Neurospora crassa OR74A: one gene and its partner. The protein of the gene in region 1 purifies or fractionates together with the protein of each later gene. This does not show direct contact. Links are inferred from orthologs where the notes say so. Each region holds a gene or a part of one and is shown in the gene's direction. Other genes may lie near its edges.

The links.
Region 2: the proteins of NCU03952 (region 1) and NCU03018 purify together in Saccharomyces cerevisiae (affinity purification with western blotting; 3 studies listed by BioGRID, with this or other methods). This does not show direct contact. The link is inferred for Neurospora crassa OR74A from reciprocal best matches to the Saccharomyces cerevisiae genes MPP10 and UTP18.

Annotation. Positions count from the first base shown.
Region 1 is NC_026506.1:2,213,444-2,229,995, forward strand, and holds NCU03952 (U3 small nucleolar ribonucleoprotein Mpp10), read left to right. Parts: upstream 1-8,929; 5' UTR 8,930-9,338; coding exon 9,339-11,717; 3' UTR 11,718-12,170; downstream 12,171-16,552. Other genes in the region: NCU03948 (amidohydrolase 3), read left to right, coding at 1-505; npd-1 (FMN-dependent 2-nitropropane dioxygenase), read right to left, coding at 972-1,083, 1,174-1,350, 1,416-1,501, 1,586-1,614, 1,736-2,299, 2,385-2,553; NCU03950 (hypothetical protein), read right to left, coding at 3,333-4,582, 4,663-4,863, 4,958-5,009; nuo19.3 (mitochondrial NADH-ubiquinone oxidoreductase 20 kDa subunit), read right to left, coding at 13,395-13,845, 13,979-14,165, 14,291-14,333; tbg (tubulin gamma chain), read right to left, coding at 15,683-15,910, 15,971-16,552. UniProt on the Saccharomyces cerevisiae protein: Involved in nucleolar processing of pre-18S ribosomal RNA. Required for the early cleavages at sites A0, A1 and A2 during 18S ribosomal pre-RNA processing.
Region 2 is NC_026501.1:8,426,268-8,430,243, forward strand, and holds NCU03018 (small nucleolar ribonucleoprotein complex subunit), read left to right. Parts: upstream 1-1,176; 5' UTR 1,177-1,462; coding exon 1,463-3,334; 3' UTR 3,335-3,512; downstream 3,513-3,976. Other genes in the region: NCU03019 (hypothetical protein), read left to right, coding at 29-182, 260-543, 607-918; NCU03017 (hypothetical protein), read right to left, coding at 3,562-3,951. UniProt on the Saccharomyces cerevisiae protein: Involved in nucleolar processing of pre-18S ribosomal RNA and ribosome assembly.

The DNA of each region.
Region 1 (16,552 bases):
CATGGCCTATGCCGAGTTACGCTTGGGCCCCGAGCGCACCGCCACCGAAGCTTACCGTATGCGCAGCTTGATTCACGAACTGGGAGTCCAGCCTGTTTTGGGGTCCGACTTCCCCGTTGAGCCGCCCAACCCGTTTGAGGGCATGTACGCGGCCGTAACGAGGAAGAACCCGCATACGGGCAAGGGAGCCGATGGTGGCGATAAGGGTTGGTATACTGATGAAGCACTCAGTCTTGAGGAGGCGCTTGCAGGCTTTACCAAGGGGGTGGCGGGCGGGATGTTTACAGAGGGGAAGACGGGTGTTATTGAAGAGGGCGCATTTGCGGATTGGGTAGTGCTTGATGAGCCGTTGGAAGTATTGGCCGCGAGGGACAACGGCGAGGGATTGAGGAAGATTAAGGTTAGGGAAACGTGGGTTGGTGGTAGGAAGGTGTATGATCGGGAGGAGAAGGTGGCGAAGAAAGTAGTGAATAATGGGGAGGAAGGGGTGAGGGAGGGTTTATGAAGGAGATGTGAAGAAACTGTGAAGGTGAGAGTAAATAGCAAAGGTTGCAAACATGGATGATGTTATGTATGATGGATGCTATGACTGGATAATGTACAACGATGGTTGATTCTACATGACAAGAGATACAAGGGTCGTGTGAACGAGAACGTGTTTTGGTTCTTTGTCGAATTAGACAAAATCTCTGTCCAAAGAGACTATGTCAGCGTCCGTCCACTTTCTGTTATCACCGTCTCGACCGTTTCGATAAGAAATCAATAATTCCTTTTCTTATCTTATTTCGAATTATCATGTTTTTGCTTCCCATCCCTCGTGCCCATTACGACGAAGAGCAATAAAGAGGCAGAACACAGTCAAAGATCACCAAGGAACCGAAGACCAAACTCGCTTGCGATCTGTAGTTACGATATTGACCCATGCGTTTTCAATCACCCATCATTACACGCGGCACCCCTTAGGCCCCCCCTTAAGCAGCAAAAGCCTGAATCTTCTTGATCCTCTCTTTGGCCTCTTCCCTCAACTCCCTAACAATATCGCCAGCCGGCCTCTGGTCCTTTATCAGACCCACAGCAGTCCCGCTGCACATAGACATACCAGTTAGCAAACAGCATCAACAGTCTTTTTGCAAGATAAAGGAAAGAAGAGAGAGAGAAAAAAAAAAAACATACGACCAAGTCACAGCCCGCGAGTTATCCCCAGAGCTCGCTGCCTCCTTGAACTTCTTGTGATTCTCTTCAAAGGGGACACCGGCCGCGTGGTCGTCGTAGGAGGCATTGCGAACGGCTCGCCCGTCGTAGACGTTGTGCCAGATTGTGTTGCAGTTGATTTGGTCGTGGAAATGGGATCTATGATCTGGTTGTCAGGAGGCTGCTGCTGGTGTGCAGTTCAGGGTTAAAAGGGTATGACTAACTTGACGGTGTTGAGACCACCATCGTTTGTCTCGAGGATGACCTTCCTGCGGAACTCGGGGGTGGAAGCTTCGACTGCTACGGTGAACTGAAAGGGAGGCTTGTCAGTACTTCTTTTCCCATCCAGAAGGAGGGGGAAAAGGGGGGGGGAGGGATCTGGAGAAGAACTTACCCTAGTACCCAATACCACACCCTCGGCGCCTATTAATCAATTTAACCAGGTAGTTAGCACATCGTCACCCATCTCGTCATATTCACCCACCACTTATCCTCATCCATTTCACTTCACTTCCCCAGAGAGAACACAGAAAAGAAAACTCACCTAGACCCAGCGCCCCTACAACCCCCCTCCCATCCGCCACACCTCCCGCCGCCACAACCACCACCTCTCGTTCCTTGAACTCTCTATCAAGCATATCCCTAACCTCCGGTACCAAACTCACAATCCCACTCCCTGTAGCAAGCTGATGCCCTCCCGCATCGATCCCTTGCGCAACAATCACATCTGCCCCATCTGCCGCCGCCTTCCTTGCATCTTTCACCGTGCCTACTTGAAAGAATACCACGAACCCCGAAGCGTGAAGGGCCTCGATGATTTGCTTTGCTGTTCCCTTTGCGCCAGGCTCGGAAGAGGCCTCGAAATCCGGGTCGTTGGCGAAGAGCCAGACTGCTTGCGGGGAGTGTTCGATCAGGATGGGCAGGACGGTGTCGGTTACGTAGGGAACGGAGATGGTGTGGGTTAAAATGAGGCCGACGCCAATGCCGGGGAGAGGGGTGAGGGGGCGGTCGGTAAGACCGAGGCGGCTGCGGGCGGAGGCGAGTTCGGTAGAGAGGGCGGTTAGGTGGGAGGAGCCGGGGCGGAAGTCGGAGCCGCCGGCGACAAAGCCTGGAAAAGGTTGCGCGGTGGTGTTAGTGCTGGGGGGTGTTGTAGATGAGATGGGTGAGTGGTAATGAGAGAAGGGGAGACGAACCAATACCGCCGGCCTTGGATACCTCGGCCGCAAGAGTGCCGTTGGCGATGAGATACATGGGGGCGCTGATGATGACGGGGTTCTTGGTGGTGGGGAACCAGGAGTTCAGCTTCGTGAGGGCCGCTTGGGCAGATTCCTCCTTCTTGCTGCTGTGGCCTGGGAAGTGCATGTTTATTGGTATATCTTGTTGATTCTGATTTCAAGTGTCTTTGGTGTTGTTGTTATGGTTGGTGAATGATTGTGAGGTGAGGTGCGGGGTGACGGTATGCTTATATAAATACTCCAACTCGGCGATGAGGTTCTCCGCGGAGGTTGTACTTACACCACAACTCAAAGTGGAGAAGGGTCACTCTTATATACGACAACAGCCGATCGCGTTCCGGTGGCTATGTTGAGTAACTTGCGACTTTCTCGAAAACTTGCTGTATTCCTGAACGATTTCCTGATTGGGATGTTTGGTATGGGTCCGGACATGGGGTGAATTACCGAGGAGAATAGGTAGGTGATTCACACTTGCACCGTTCCTTTCCCCACAAGGTCCCTCGGTCAAATAGTTGAACATTGACAGATGAAATCTGAACTTGGGAAGAAAGGGAAGCATGAGATCAGACACCCTGAGTATATATTATGTGTCTCTAGGATGAGGCGGCAATGCCATTCAATCGAAAAGTCGCGGTCATAGGTGAATGTATAGTAAGTACTGTCTGTTTTTGGATCAGTCATCAATATGATCTATCGCTAGATGACGTTGTGGGTCTGGTAGCCCCAATCCGCTGTCTGTCTATTCAATGTTGCCCTTTGAGCTACCCAAGGCCTTTGAACAGAGCTGTGTGCAACACATGAGTTGCTGTCAATCGTTATCAAGAGCTTCAAGGCTCCCGTATCCCTTTGGCCCTTGGCATGGGCAACATACTCTCACCTGCATGACCGCATAAGCATTGGCAGCCATCAGGGCGCCTTTCCCACCATCAAGACCAACAATATCGCATTGCCGACGCACGCCACTACAAATGTCACCCACACCGCAATCTCTCCTATCATCGAAGGTGCTTGAAACTCGTGCCTCGAATTCCACATGCACAACGCAGCGACTGCCGTGCCCAGCGAGGTGACGATCCCGACTGTCACGCCAGCATCTACCTCCATTCTCATCTTGTGGCGGCCCGTCATAATCAACATTGTCGCAATACCCATCAGCACAAACGTGACCAGGTAGCAGCCCCAAGTGCCCCAAAACAACGTTTCGTCGCGATGGCGTGCAATGCGTTGTTGTTCTAGGCTTCGGTAGCCCGACTCCGGAAACTCCTCAGAAGACGCATAGCCGTAAGAGCCTCTTCTCTCGGCGCGCCAACGACCACGGCTGAAGCTGTGTGGAGGCGAGTTTGTGAAGCGATCGCTGACGTTGTCATCGTCGATGTCGGTGTCGATGGGGGCAACGCCAGGAGGGTATGTAAAATAGCTGGGCGGCGCGAGGGTCGCGCCGTACCGGTCGGTCGACTGGGTTTGCGAGGATCCTAGTAGAGGCTGCTGTTCTGTACTTTCGTTTGCGCGTTGGTCTGGTGTTGATTCCTGACCACGCCCCATGATTTTCTTCATCGGCGACGAGATCCAGTTCATTATGCTGCTTACACCAGGGAATTTCATCTCTTCATCCGGGTTGATATAGATGGCATATTCATCGCAACGGTCGTCGCCGGCTTCGCTGCCGTGGTCATATTCGTTCCAATATCCTGTCGGGGCATCATCCTCGGGAACAATGGTCACGTTAGGCACGAGTCGGTGTTCCCCAGCGCTGGCCGGGCGGGTGGGCGTGGCGGGCTGGGTAGGTGGAGAGGAACTGCCACTACGACTCGAATCTCTCGGCGAGGCAGAGCGTATCGTCTGTAGCAGGTTTTCGTATTGTGATTGAAGCCGGGAGAAGTCACGCTTGGTGAAGCTTTTGGGGTTCGCCAGGATGGTTTCCCTGAACCGCGAGCCGAGAGTCGCCGAGCCCGTCCATTTCCGGTACTTCTTTAGAATCTTGCGAAAGGCAACGGTGTGTGCATTGACAAAGCGTTGGAGGGCCTGGATCTCGTCACCGCATTGTAGCAATTCTTGTTCGTATCTTGCAAATTGGCGCTGTCTTTTGGTCGAAGTGCGCGTTCTCGTAGAGGCAGCGCATCGGACAATATGGGCGTGTATTTGATTGGACAAGTGTTCTGGCGACGTGTGTCAAGATGTTAGTAATACGCGGCCGGAGTTGGGAGAATAGAGTGGCAGCGAGACGAGGTAAACATACGAAGACGGCGCGCTATTTCGTCCGCTTTGCTTGATACAAACAGATCGACACGATCATGTTGTCGGCAAAGCTCGTCGTAGAGGTCGTCTTCAAACTTTGAGAGTGCGGCGGCTTGGTGGCCTGGAATGGCAATCGCGGTTCCCTGAGACCTGGTGGTGTGCGCCTTGATGTAGTGTTTTAGCGAGTTGTAGTCGATGTTATCTGCTCGGTTGAGGTAAAGATCAGCAGGCATTCGTTGGTGAGATGTGGCACAGTCATCGGCAAAACCGGCGGAACAAGACGGGGAAAGACATACGGATTCGCCATTGGGGGACAGACTCCCTGTCAAACTGCTCCCCAAACTTCATTCCTGGTAGATGTGGTGGGCTGTAGTGGTGGTTGTACGGGTGTAGAGATTGGCACTTGTAATGCACGTATTGCAAGAAATGTCCTTTCACAACGTCGTCGAATCCCGTCTTGGGAGAGGTTACACCCGGTGGCGTCGATGTACGAAATAAACCGGTCTGCTGGGACTTTGATGGTCTGTACCGCTCCAAAAACCTGCTTCTTCTTTGTGCCTTTGTTTTGGTTCAAGTCGACGCCAAAGGCAGTGCAAAAAAGGCCGGAATGAATCTGTAATGACGATGTTGTTGGAGGGAGGCAAGCGGTTATATGCACAGATAAGAGAGGTAGTGTACAACTGTCTGTCGGGAACCCGCACCAGCGTCTCTTGCACCAACGGCACTGTGGCTATGACGAAAGTGTGGGATAAAAGCTTTGATCGCTGGCGGAGACGGTCTGGGGGAATGGGGACTGGACAGCCCAGGGTGTTGACTGTCTGAGGTCGTGATAAGGACGACCGGGGGACCGTGTGGGCTTGGAGAAGACGGTGAAGTTTCAACCGAGCGATCAACACAAACACTTCAGATTCGTTTCGGATGGCTGGAGACGGAGCGTCGCTAGACTTAGTTGGTAGAGTGGTCTAGAATGGCTGGCCAACGGTTGACTGCCGTCATTTGCGCTTAGTCTTTAGTGTGAACGTCGACCGAAGGCTGCAAGGAACTGGCGGGGAGAAAAGTGAAAGGAGACAAAGACGACGAAGATGGCAGAGAAGAAAGGAAGAAACGAAGTGTAGTAGTGTATGTGACGACAGGCCGAGCCGAAGTGAATCTGAAGAGCCATCAAATCTGAGACAAGCAGAGAGACAACTTGATAACTAAGTAAGCTGGAGTCACAGGCTTTTGAGAAAGCCAAGGAATCAAAATCAAGAAGGTCCTGTCCATCCAATGCGAACGAGAGGAACCACCTTCCACTCGACCTTTCTCAGTGGGTAAGTGGGTCTTTCTGCCAGGACCCAATGCAGCCCGGTCCGGGTCCCTCCAGGGCAGGGAAATCTTTGGTGGAACCTCGAGGTTTCCTGTGGGCTCTTTACACTACACTACGACGTAGCAGAAGTGGAGATGGAACCAACTGAGTTTGTGGTGTCCATCCTCTGCAACCATGTCCGTCAATGAGGTTTTCTTTTTGTTGGTTATCTTCAGGAACTTGCTTCAGTTCCTGGCCTCCCGTCTTTACCGTCCCGGAATATGGTTTTTGATTGGCACGGTTCCTTAATAGTTCCACCCTGGTCTAGAATCATCGGCCCTGTCATAGTTCAGTAAGCAGGCACGTGCTTGGGGCTGCCCGTGTCGTTGCCCGGGAAGCTACCCTCGGGAACGGTTATGGTAGACCTGCAATCTCTCCCCTTCTTTGTTCGGCTAAAAGGCACGCGACCAAGTGTTCTGTGTGTTTACCTTATCCACAAGCGAGCGTTTGTCGAGGATGAGTCTGGGCTATCACCAACTCGTTTATTATTGATCTACAAATTCATGCTAAAAGTTTTGTTAGCGCGAGACGTACAACGTCTTCAAACGAGGAAGAGAATCACTGACTATGGCGCTGCTATTGGTCTAGAAACACGCCAAAACCCGACCCGGATAAAGCGACTGTGCTCGATTCCATATGGCCTGTGTGGGTCCCATACAAATCGACAGCCAAGCTCAGCCAAGACCCAAAGCTTGGCATCTGTCGCGCCAACTTTCGCGACCGCAAGTCACCACCAAAGTCACCACCAAATGTCATTATCTTAACAACGATAATAAGAACTTAAAACCACCTTTTTTTAAAGCGTTGGACTTTCATTCACACGCAGGGGCCTCTCACCGGCCCCCTACACCCCCGGAACTAACCCTAACGCCTAACCCTAACCACTAACCCTAACCACTAATCTAGGTTACCGGGAGGTGACATGTGCCTTGGCCCACACAGGCTGTTTGGAATCGCGCACAGTCGCTTTATCCGGGTCGGCCAAAACCACCTCCAGGGTAACAACGATTGATCGTCCTCCACCAGGTTCCCCATACACACCCATTATGGTTGCGTAACTGGCTCGTCCAGGACAAAAAGAAAAACATGGTCTCCAGAACATGATGTCAACGGCATATTGACAAAACACCTACGAGTTTGTAAGGCTGTAGACACTTGTTGAGAACCATAAATGACCATGAAGACGAATAAAAGAGGTAAAATTAACGAGAGGAAATGTCATGATTCTGGTCTGGGCCGGCTGCAGTCTCTTTCATTTTGTCTCGACCGAGGTTAGGTAGGTACGGTACTCAAGCATTTGCACCGTGGTCCTACCAAGAGAAAACGATCGAGTTGCCACTGGTACAGCTGCAAGACGGCTCCCAACAGCATAGATGGGGTGGGGCGACGGACAGGTGCTCTTGACAAGTCGTGTTGTGAAGACCTGTTGTGGGATGCAGTTTCTCCTCTCACCCTCACATAGAGCCTGCCAGAAGGGAGGCGGATATGGAAAATAGAAAAGAATGAATCGGCCCGTCCGGATTTTCACAAGGAGATCTCCTTCGCTTGACAAATTAGGTAACATCCGGCAACTCAAAAGTATTTCCCGTCCCTCCATCTCGACGTATCTTCCAGCTCTGTAACCAAACAGTGTGCGATTGGCAGTTACATAGTGTGAGCCAACCGAAACTTCTCTCGCGACCTCCTGTACGACTTTGGAAATGTTGCCGTTAACTTGGCCATTCTACTCTAGGTAGGTAGCAGAGATAGATGGTGTGATGCGATTGGACCGAGCAACGCCACTTAGCGATCAAGTTCATGTGTCGTACTATACAGGAGGCCACTGACACTTGATGGGATCCTCGCCGTTCACGACAGCAAGTTAGTGGTTACATAGCAAACATCTTCACCGTGAGGTTCACAGTTATTTCCCGGCGAACATGAAAAAGAGGTCATATTGAGAGCACGCAACGCACGACCATAGAGGCTGGGATCACCAAAGCCACCATCGCCCTCACATTGACCTCGGCAACCGCTAAAGAACATGATACAATTCCCTGGCCTGGGATACGAAGGTCTTGAGTATCACTCGCAGCTCGGCTCGGCGGGACACTCTCCCGCGAGTTGCATTCAATGAAGGCTTAGACGGTCCAGACCCTAATGCAGCACGTCAACGCTGCTGTCGTATTTTGAAAGAATACCTCATGGTCCGTCAAAATTCTCACGGGCGATACCATATGCATAGGGATGTGGCTTGTGAAGGAACTTCAACAAGTGTTATGACTTGCAGCATCTTTCCCCGAAGGTGCGCAAATAACACCCTTACATTTCTACTATGTAATAAGAGCTTTCTCTGCACGTTATCCAGACCATGAAGAAGAGCCGGCTGGGTAAGTAGCCTACCTCTACAGAAAATAGTCCATCAACGTCTGTCGCAGAGATCTCATTACGATGTTGAAAAGAACACGAGAAGCATACTGTAATGTAGCTAGTATGAGGCAAACCTAGCGCTCTTCCTCAATGGGGTTAATCGTTGGTTTAACATTTTACAGTTCTTGCACAATTTAATTACCTTTTACCGTTTGACAAGAAACTTCCAGTTACGACGAAAGTGAAGCGGCGAAAGATACAATAGACTATGTACGAGCTGATGGGATTGATAGGGTAGTCTGGAATTTTAGATAAGGAAGTGCTGATAACAAGCTAGGTGCCTGTGTCGAAACGGCGACTTCACCTATCCAACAGCACTGGAGATCGTTGCGTGATTGCTTACTGAGTTTCCAGTAACTTCAGAGTAACTCGCTAGCGTATGCTATATTTAAAAAAAGGTCATTGTGAATTCATCCCCTCTCTCAAGCTTGATGTCGAGCATCTCCTTTGAGACTGCATGCACTTTGTGGTTTGTTTACTTGACATTGTCATCCGATTATAAGTGTTAAGGCAACCTCGTCTTATAGCGGTGCACCGCCCTGAAGCTTAACAACAAGAGAAGTGGGACCTACTTCCATTTCCAGAGAGCAGAATCACCCATCATTGGTCAATTCACAGCCAGCCCCATAAGCTGGTGCGGGGACGCCTGCCTCCACGCTTCGCCGTTTCCTGGACCTTGGAGAGCGCTATGGCAGAAAAAATTTTGGTCCATCAATATCGCCGGCTGGCAACCAAACATCGTCAGGTCGAACTTTTTTTTGTTTTGGTACGGGCAACGGCAAACACCGACGCCCTGCCATTTCTTAGTCAAGCGTCCATATTGAACCCTCAAGTCAGACACTTGTATGACAAGGCCAGCCTCGATACCCTAGCCTTGATTGATCTTCTTACAGCATTAGTCCAACCCTACCTAAAAAACAGACATGGCAGCTGGCAGCATAACCTCTTCCGTAACCTCGACATCCCAAACAATCACCCACGACCCCTCCACACACAACAGCGTCATGGCCGCTACCCTCGCCGCATCGTCGAGCGGCAGCACCTCTCCTTCGACAATTGCCAACAACCCCGTCGTCGCCTCCTTCCTCTCGGCCCTGGCCGACGAGTCCAACCGCCACGTCTTCCTGCAGCCGCCCTCGACCCTTCCCGCCGGATCCCTCCTGCTCGCCAAGGAGACCCTCGACGCGCTCGCCTCGCAGGTCAGTGACCACCAGCAGGCAAAGCTGAAAGAGATCGCGGCCACCATCGGTGGAAAGAAGCGCAAGCGTGAGGCTGGCTATGACAAGAATGCCGTGCTCAAGATTCGCAAGCTGCACGTCGACGACGGCTTCGAGACGGAGCAGATTTGGCAGCAGGCCAAGAAGATCATTGCCAGCGCCACAAAGGAGGCTGGCGATGTGCTGAAGGAGCTGGAGGAGAACGGGATTGTGGGCACCGGCGAGGAACAAGAGAAGACCATTGAGTTTGGAGAGGATGGGTTTGAGCTTGGTTCTGATGAGGAGGAGGAGGACGATGAGGAGGATGCTGATAGCGAATCTGGTTCTGGCTCTGAAGGAGAAGAGGATGAGGAGGATGACGAAGAAGAATTAGAAGGAGAAGAGGGCAGCCAGATCGACGACGATGAAGAAATCGAGATCGATGGCGAAGAGGTTGAATTCTCGGACGAAGATGGAGAAGGAGAGTTTGATGAGGAGGAGGAGGAAGAAGAAGAAGAAGAAGAAGAAGAAGAAGAGGAAGAGGATGCGCCAGAACTTGTCGAGGATCCCAACGGCCTCAACGACGGCTTCTTCTCAATAGACGACTTCAACCGGCAGACACAGTTGTGGGAGGACGCGGATGCCCGTGCGGACCCCAACGTCGATGCCGACAGCGACGACGAACAGCTAGACTGGCACGCCGATCCTTTCGCGACAAAGCCAAAATCAAAGAAGGGCAAGAGCGACAAGAAGAAGGACGAAGACCAGGATGAGGACGACGTCGACATGGGCGATGAATCCGAAGACGACGAGGCCCTCGAGGCTGCTGCCGCCGCCCACGCCAAGAAACTCAAGGGCAAGAAGAACGTGGAGCAGCTCGAGGACGATGGCGACGATCTCGGCCTTACAGATGGTGTTCTCGGTATGGACATGGACCTTACCGCCAACGACATTTACTACAAGGACTTCTTCGCGCCACCTCAAAAGAAGAAGACCGGCAACCAAAGGAAAGGAGGCTATTTCCCCAAGAAACTTGAGCAGCCAGATGAGGCCGATATGGAGAGAGCCGAGAATGATGTGCGCCGCGATCTCTTCGACGACATCTCGGAGAATGAAGATGAAGATAAGCTCTCGGATCTTGATGCTGGTGATCCGAGATCTCGCCGGTCCGCCCACGAGCGCAGACAAGCCAAGATTGCCGAGGAGATCCGCAGGCTCGAGTCTGAGCTAGTTGCCAAGCGCGCCTGGACTCTGTCCGGTGAGGCTTCCGCGCAAGCTCGTCCCATGAACTCGCTCCTGGAGGAAGACCTCGAGTTTGAGCATGTCGGAAAGCCTGTCCCCGTCATTACCGAGGAGGTTTCCGAGACGATTGAGGCGCTCATCAAACGCCGCATTCTTGCCAACGAGTTCGACGAGGTTCTCAGGAGACGTCCTGACACCCTCAATAACCCCAACAACGCGCGCCGCGGTCTCGTTGAGATCGACGACACCAAGGGCAAGCAGTCTCTCGCCGAGATCTACGAGGAGGAGCACATCAAGAAGGCCAACCCGGACGAGTACGTCAGCGCTTCGGACGAGAAGCTCACGCGCGACGAGGCCGAGATCAAGAACATGTGGAAGGACATCTGCGCCAAGCTCGACGCCCTCAGCAGCTGGCACTACAAGCCTAAACCCGCCGCACCCACCATCAGCGTTGTCACCGACGTCGCCACCGTCGCCATGGAGGACGCCATGCCCACCACGGCCCAGGGTGTGTCGGGTGGCGAGAGCACGCTCGCGCCCCAGGAGGTGTACGCCCCCGGCAAGGACTCAGTCGAGAAGGGCGAGGTCGTGGCCAAGAGCGGCCTGCCGATTGCCAAGGAGGAGATGAGCCGCGAGGAGAAGGCTAGGAGACGCAGACGCGAGAAGGAGCGCATCCGCAAGGCCGGCGGCCTGGATGCGAACAAGAACATCAGCAAGGGTGCCCAGGAACGCAAGGAGACGATGAGCCAGCTCAAGAAGGGCGGTGTCAAGGTTATTAACCGGAAGGGTGAGACGGTTGGGTTGGATGGCAAGAAGATCGCGGAGCAGAAGGGTCCTACGTCGAGTGGTGCCTTCAAGCTTTAAAGGTCGGGTTGTTAGACGAGGGATAGACGTAGGAAGAAGATGGATGATACCCTGATGGGTTGGACGGGTGGGCAGTCTTGGCTAAGGGCGATCTGTAAAGGTCTTTTTCTTTTGTATGGAATAGGTACATAATTGGGAGTTCAAAAACTATGCATGAGTTTGTTTTTCATCGGCCGTCAGCCGGTATACAATGCTCAACTGTTCACGTTCAACATTGTCGAAGATGATTCTTGTGTGCCTAATATTATGGAGTCAGTACAACAACTAATCCTGGCCCTCTCCAACCTCATTGCTCTGTTTCCCCTCATGCTTTCCTTCTGTTACCCGTCACTATTCTCCGTGTGATCTTTCCTCCAATTCAGCCCAGATCATAGCGACTCATAACTTGGTACCTACCTCTACCTCCACAGGTCTACAAAGTGAAAAAATGCAAAATCAGTCTAGCTATCCACCCTCAGCCAAATTGGTAACTCTCCATTTTCATTACATCTTATTAGTATTTGGGATTGCCTACCCCTACTACTAGCTTGCCCTTTATCAAAAAAAAAAAAAAAAAAAAAAAAAAAAAAAAAAAAAAAAAAAAAAAAAAAAAAAAAAGAAAAGAAAAGAAAGAAAAAAAATAAAAGGAAAAAAAAAGAAACAAAAAAAAAGGAAAAAGGAAAAAGTTCCCTCTACCTTGTTCAAGGCTATCTGTACCCCGGACCTCAGGTTTTGGTTGATTAAGAAGAAGTGAAGAGAGAAGTGAAGAGAGAAGTGAAGAGAGAAGTGAAGAGAGAAGTGAAGAGAGAAGTGAAGAGAGAAGTGAAAAGGGGATAACCCGAGGCTGAAGAGACCATGAAGAGACAGTTAAGCATGTTGTACACTACCTCTTATTCTGTTTGAAACCGTCTTCTTCGTCCGCCCTAATAAGACCTAGTGCCAGACGAACTGTCCAGACTATGTTTGGTATCATTCTACATCCATCATCCGCGTCCACCTCTGCAATCCACCACTGGCTTCTTGATATAGTTTGTTCATTTTTGGATTTATGAGCATGTACCCAAAATTGAAGGGGTAATCACATAGATATACTAGTTCTGGGGAACAGCTCGTGAGCCATTGACTTCTCGAAGACGGTCCGGAGATGTGAATACATACCCATATACGACAGACCATTTGCAGTCCCCTCTCGATCACGATGACTTGTTTGGGAGGGCCAAGGACATATGTGTTTCGAAAATCTCTCCTTGTTTTCATAGCAAGGATTGGCTACTTGAGTCTCTTATGAGGACTTTACAGTCGAACAATGGGTCGTTTTCTGGCCCTCGTCTCACTTGCCAACTGACTCGAGCATATACAGCAAAAGTACACAGTCACACGTCTTGAAGCAAAACAAAGTACAACTGGCCGACACTTTTCCAGCTCATGATGAGCTTTGAACGGATAAGGGAGAAAAAGCAAGACGCAAACTCTGAGCATAATACATCTTGTCTAATTTCCACTGAAGTTCCTTCTTGTGAGCCGTTGTTCTCGAGCTCTTCCGTTCGTCCATGAAATCTAACCGTGCTGTCTTTCCGGTTTTTACCACCACTCAATCTTCTTCTTTCATCGATCCTTTCTTGGCGCTACCACTCACCCCAAAGTCTAACCCCCCTCCCATGACCACGACAAGCAAGTGCCAAGCAGTAGTAACGCTCTCTACTTGCGATACCACATCCTCGTAATCTTCGTATTCCGCATCTTCCTCTGCAACTGGAAAATGCCATACATGAGCGCTTCACTAGTAGGCGGGCACCCCGGGACGTAGATGTCAACAGGGACAATCCGGTCGCAGCCGCGCACGACGCTGTACGAGTAGTGGTAGTAGCCGCCGCCGTTGGCGCACGAGCCCATGCTGATGACCCAACGCGGATCGGGCATCTGGTCGTACACCTGGCGCAGGGCGGGCGCCATCTTGTTGGTCAGGGTGCCCGCCACAATCATGACGTCCGACTGGCGGGGCGAGGCACGGAAGATGATGCCCAAACGATCTTGATCGTACCGCGGGGTTGAGAGGTGCATCATCTCGACGGCACAGCAGGCGAGGCCGAAGGTCATGGGCCAGAGAGAGGATTGGCGGGCCCAGTTGACGATGCTGTCGAGGGTTGTGCTATATTTGAATGTGTGTTAGTGGCATGTCCTTGTTGCTTGTGTTGTTGTGGAGAGGGCATAGGGGATATATCCTTGTCCGGATGTCAAGAGCGGATGTGGAGTTCGTGGAGCCCTCGGAACGTGTAACGTACAGAGCATATTGAACGGCGCCCTTGGTGCCCTCCTGGCTGGGAAGAGGAACCTCTCTGCGCTCGCGCCTGGCGATGCCGTGCTGTGCGCCCGCCGGGGCGACGGCACCCGTGGCGTCCTTGCGGGAGGACGAGGAGATGGAAGCGACAGCGGCCGCACGGAAGGGAACGATTTGGGCAGTCGGCCGGGCTGTGGATAGTTGGTTTATCGTCAGCTGGAGTTCGTCGCCGTGGGGATTTCGTGATGGAGCTGTCGAATGACTCGCGCGCTGACTCTCCGTCGCATTCAGAAAACAAAACACAGGCATCACCCACCTCTAAGAGCCATCGAGGCGCCTGTCCTCACAGAAGACATCATGTTGAAAATATCAATTGTCGCAAAAGGAGCGAGGTCTAGGTACCTGGGGAAAGGAGCGAGGGCGAAGAGGGTCCGGAACGGGGCTCGCAATGATAGTATCGACGTCGTCCCACCCAGTCTGCGGTTACACAGCGAGCCTCCGACTCCCCTCAGCGACGGGACTTCAGTTAGTTACAGTGATGCTGCGGCTTAGCCAAGTTATCCCGAGCATTTGCCTCCATAAAGTGACCCACTTTGTGGCGTCGAATAAGGCTGGGGATTTGAGGATTGAAAAGAGCTAGCTTTCCATTGGTCAAGGCATGTTTTCTTCCTGGGGAAGTTGGAGCAACAGGGAAGCTCAAGGGACTTCTGGGAAGGACTCCTACTCCTCCCCTCCCGCGCTGGATGACCATGTCGTTTGAAATCCGTGCATCTCGAATTCTCGCGGTAATCTGCATTGAGCGCAGTGCATCTGATGTATTTTGCCAAATCTTGATGAGGTCATCTTCACCCTGAAGTGTTGGTAGGGAGATACGCCTATCACCGTCCTTGGGTTCCTGATTGAGACTAAAAGCAGTCAATGCCATCCCTGTCTCAATATTTTGTCTAAATACGCTAAGGAGTGCCAAGATGTGGTGATAGCTTCATCTGCATCTATATAGCTTCCTGCAGAGGACCATAACGATATTGATCGCAGCACCCACTGACAATGAAACACAACCAAGAAACAGAAAAAGTAAAAAAAAAAAAGTAAAAAAAAGAGAGAGGACAAGAGCTGGAATCGAACGGCTGACGTCACGTTCAACTGGAAGGGAGTAGAAGAGCCCTATTTTGCATAGCCGGAAGACGCCAGCTTACAGTGCTTCCAGGGAGGTTCTCCCCCGCCATTTAGGTCCCCGTTGGGTCACCTACGGCGGCGAGGGCCCCCCCCCCAGCATGTGGTGCACTACCCTCCTTGTGCAAAGAGAGCTCAGCGCACCACGCCGCTCGACCACGCAGCCACTTGTCAGTTGGTTGAGTACTTATCACCTTGGGGTCCTTTATGAAGCCCAAGCTGAGGTCGCGCGTGCATGCATTTTGGGGTTTGAAGACAAGTGGTATTTCCATAGCCTCAGTGGTCAAAGAGCTGCTGCAATCTATCGACAACATGCCAAACGATACAGAAAACGCGCGCCAACACCTTTCTCCTGGTTTTCCCTCCCGCCCAATAACGCCTGCGAACAACAATCTGGTCGTGATATCGCGTCAGCCTAGTTAAGAAAAAAAAAAAAAAGAAGAGAAAAAGAGGGATACCAGCTGTCTTTAAAGGATCCCAGGTATAGTCGCAAAACAAAAGGCCCCCAGCTGGCCATCATCTGTCCGGCTAAGACTCAAGCCATTCTCTTGTCCGTGTCAGCCGACGCGTTTTCGCCAAGCTCGGGGTTGAGATAATTGGCGTCTTCGGCAGCCTCGTAATCGGCAATAAGGTCCATGACGACCTCCCTGGCTTCGTCAAACTCGTTGAGGTTTTCAGAAAACGGCGCCGTCTTTTTGTAGGCTTCCATAAAGGCGTTGCGCTTCCGCATGCCATCGTACTGCCTAACGATACGCTTGAAGAGCTGTGTGAAGAAATGTCAGTTTGATCATCTATCTAGCCAACACAGCAGCAGTTGACATACCGTAGCAATACTAGTATGGTTTGCCAACATCAAACCACTGACACGATGTGCCATAGTCACGTAGGGACTCCTCTTGGTCAGTGCCACCTGGATGCTAGCGGGACCCCAAGGAATGAATGTAGCAAGACGACGTTCCCTAATACGGAGCAGACTCTTGTGCACATCGGTTGGGTCCACGTCGCCCTGGATGACGTTCAGGATGGAAATGTAGCAGCTCTTCTTGCCGGGTACAGTAGACACCATGCGATTCTTGGGCTGCAGCAATCGTCTCATGACGTCGAGAACCGTCGTTTTGCGCACCGTCTTTGCCTGCTCTACCTGGTCGCCAGTGAAGGGCGTGTACGACGTCATCAAGAAGTGGCATCGAGGAGTCGGAATCAAGGACGCGAGAATGCTGACCAGGTCGTTGTGCATGTAGCCGGGGTATCGAAGGGTGGTTGTGCTGGCGGACATGACGGTCGATACGAGCTGATTCGTCTGTTGGAAGGATGGCTCTTGTACGTGTAGTCTGTCGGCGGCAATGTGTGACAAGGCGCCGTTGTCAAGCACCACTACCGAGTCGGCGTTTTGCGTTAACCTCCT
Region 2 (3,976 bases), on another chromosome or scaffold:
CCGAGATCGTTGAATCACATTGCTGAGAATGACACAATCATTGTCTCTCGCTGTGTTTGCAGCTGCGGCACTTTTTGCGACTAAGGGTCTTGCGAGCAACTTTACCGTTAGCAATGGCCAGATTTTCACCCCTGGTTTTGTTATCGTCGATTCCCCCCAGCCGGACACGCCTCTTGGCGGAGGTTAGTACTATTAGTACCCGGCTGGCTGTCGGCAAAGGACTTGAGGACTTGCTACTAATAAGCTTCAACTTGTGTAGACAATGTCGAGATTGCGCTCGATGTTTCTGCCAATGGCAAGCTTCCTCTACCGCCCTACGGCGACGACGCTTCCAGCCAAATCTACAACATCAACATCTTCCTTTACAGCTACGTAACGGGCCGAAACTTGACCATCACCAACGGTACTGCGTCGGCCAACAATGCCACACTCGGTGATATCATGCTCTCCGAGCCTGGTAGCACCGTGAAGCATGTCCGGTGGACATGGCCCGACTGCATGGTTGGCGATGGTACGAATGGGAACGATCGTGGCAGTTACAATGTGGGTTTTCCAAATAGTCAGCTTAAGAGTGTGTTGATAGCCATTTCACTGACAATTCAAAAGATCTCCATCCACCAACGCTTCAGACTCAATGGCGAGAACCACTACACGATATTTGATCTTCCCGTCTCTGTGACCAACAGCATCAGCAAAAGCGACGACCGCCCGTCTTGCCAATCACTTGATAACCCGTTACTGGCGCCCGAGGACATCGATTGGACAGACACTAACGAACTCGGCGCCCTCTTTGCTCCTGGTGATTCGACGGTTATTGAGACGTCGAATGTTGGTAGTGGTGCTGGGCTGGCGAGCTGCAAGCATGCACTTAACTTGTTGTGTGTGGTGGGCATTAGCTGTGCTCTGTTGTTAAGCTAGGCTCTAGACTTGCTTGTCGTCCAATAATCAAAAAGGTGGCTGTGAGATGACATAGAATCATCTGCAAGGATACCAAAACACCACGTACTCTTCATGCATATGTTCTTTTTGAAATCATATATTTGCTCTGCGTGGCTCATAATTTTAGTACTAGTTCGTGTCTGGTCAGATTTATTGTCTTCGAATGAGTTCACATAAAGTCATCTTCATCACAAAGATATTGTTAATGAAAGTAGCATTGAGGCATCAGATAAGTTTAATATATGTTTATTTTTTTACTTTTTTTTTTGTAGGGGTACTTCAAACTTATTCCTTGAACAAGGCTGGCGTGCTTGTGATAGCAAGTGGGTCCAGATTAAGTGGGACAGGATCTGCGATCTGCAAGGCTGATAACGAAAAAAAAAGTTCCCAACCTCAAAACAAACCAAACACTAGCGACTGGTCGTGGCATTTCCGTCCATTTCAACTCCATTTAACCAGGACCGGATCTCACAGCAAAAGTTCCCGTTACTGGGCTTTGCGCAATCTCCTAAATCAGAACAAAATGGCGCCACAGACGAAAGACGAAGTTTCCGACGACAACGAATTCGTCGGATTCGACGAGGAGAGCGATGAGGAGATGCACGACAATGATGGCATGTCAGTAGACGACGACGACGAGGACGACTCCGATATGGATTCAATTGCCGACCCGAGGAAAAAGTACGATATTGAAGAGAAGGACTCTGACGAAGAAGACCTCGAACGATTCGTCTTGGGCAATAACGACACCTTCCGCGCCCAGCTTTTCCGCGACGATTTCCTCGCCGATATTACCGATTCCAAGGCTCTCATTAGGACCGACAAGCAAGATGACACGACTGGCCTCGAACATGTCGACGATAACGCCCTCTTCGCGTTCGATACTGGCGTTCCCGGTAATAAGAAGCAGACAGAGGCCGCGCCCTCTGCGCTAGAGGCTTACGAGCAGAAGGAGGACCCCCCAGCGTGGGAGGACAGCGATGACGAGCGGTTGACAGTATCCCTTGCGGCTGCCTCGCGGTTGCGCAAGCTGCGTCAGTCCGAAGAGGAGGATGTCGTGAACGGCACCGAGTACGCGCGCCGCCTGCGCTCGCAGTACCTCCGACTATACCCCCTTCCGGAGTGGGCCAAGGAATCCTCGGCCGCCAGCCAGCGCCGGAGGAGAAGATCTTCAGCCGCCGGTTCCTCCTCCGAGGAAGACAGTGACGCCGAAGACGACATCGAATCCGCCCTCCCTCTCGAGACCTTCCTCCGCGACGTCAACTCTTTCAACGCCAGCGCCGATGCCCGTGGCAGCAAGCGCCGCAAGCTGCGCCCCGAGACCATCGACATTCAGCGCTCGCGCGACATCCCCGACATTCACAAGCAGTCCGTCAGCTCGTTGTCCTTCCACCCCAAGCACCCCATCCTGCTCTCGTGCAGCGTCTCCTCCATCATGTACCTACACCAAGTTGACCCGACCGCGCACCCGGTTCCGAACCCGGCCCTCACGTCGGTGCAAGTCAAGCGCACCGACCTTCGGCGCTCCGAGTTCCTCGGTCCCGATGGCGACGACGTCATCTTCGCCGGTCGCCGGCGCTACTTCCACAGCTGGAACCTCTCGTCGGGTGCCGTCAAGAAGATCACCCAGATCCAGGGCCACCAGCGCGAGCAGCGTACCATGGAGCACTTCCGTCCCTCGCCCTGCGGACGCTACCTGGGGCTCATCGCCTCCGAGAAGAAGGGCGGCGGCATGATCAACATCGTCAACGTGCGCACGATGCAGTGGATTGCGCAGGCGCGCACCAATGGCCGCGGCGGCATCTCCGATTTCGCCTGGTGGGGCAACGGCAACGGCCTCTCCATCCTCGGCAAGAACGGCCAGGTCACTGAGTGGAGCATGCTCAGCCGGCGCACGGTCGGCGTTTGGCGCGACGAAGGATCGATCGGCGGCACGGTGATTGCGCTGGGCGGGCAGAAGGGCACCGGCCCTAGCCAGATTGGTGGCGATCGCTGGGTGGCTGTGGGCTCGAATAGCGGCATTATGAACATTTACGATCGGAATGATTTGGTTGAGCCTGTTAAGAAGGAGGGTGGTGCGTCGGCGTCCAAGGAGGAGACAGTGCAGATTAAGAGCATCCCCACCCCGCAGAGGACGTTTGAGCAGCTCACGACGCCCATCTCAGTGGTGACGTTCGCGCCGGACGGTCAGCTATTGGCGTTTGGTAGCTTCCACAAGAAGGACGCGTTAAGGCTGGTGCACTTGCCTAGCTGCACCGTTTACAGGAACTGGCCTACGGAGCAAACGCCTTTGGGTAGGATCACTGCTGTGGCGTTTAGCCACCAGAATGGTGGTGATGTGTTGGCGGTGGGCAATGATGTGGGCAAGATTAGGATGTGGGAGATTAGGAGCTAGATCTGCGCATTGTGTAGTGCGTTGAGTTGGCGATAAAATAGTGCGGAGTATAAACTAGTGGTAATCTAAGGGTTTGAAGGTTTTGGGCCATGAAATTCTGTCCAGCTCGTCTAAAAGGTTTCAGCAAGTGTCAGCCCTATGGCAACGATATGTATTCCCATGCTTCTCCTTGTACGCATGACATGCATCAAACCACGTCTTCAGAGGCATCAGTATCCCCTCAATCCTCAGGTGCTTCCAGTTTCCGTTTGCTTTACCTCCTTCTCCCTTTGCGACTTCTCCTTTCCCTTCAACTTCGCCTCCTTCTTCTTCCCCAGCCTTTCCTCTCTTTTACTCTGCAACTTTTCCTCCAAATCCGGATCGAAAATGTGCTTGAGCATCGCGTGCTCCGGCTGATCTTCGATGACCTTATTCCTGGGGTAAATCTTGCGATGCCCTATTGAATACTTTGAGAGCGCCTGAGGTGTTGTGAATCGCTGCGGCCTTGACTCCCCCCCGGCCTGAATGATTCTATCGGTTTCAAGGACATCATAGATGTTGACGTGTACGGCTTTAATGGCCTGGTGAGGGCGAAAAGAAATGGGTATCAGTAATGGCCGGTTCCCCGGTAGTGTGGCCTAGAGCGAGAAGGGACCAAAGAAG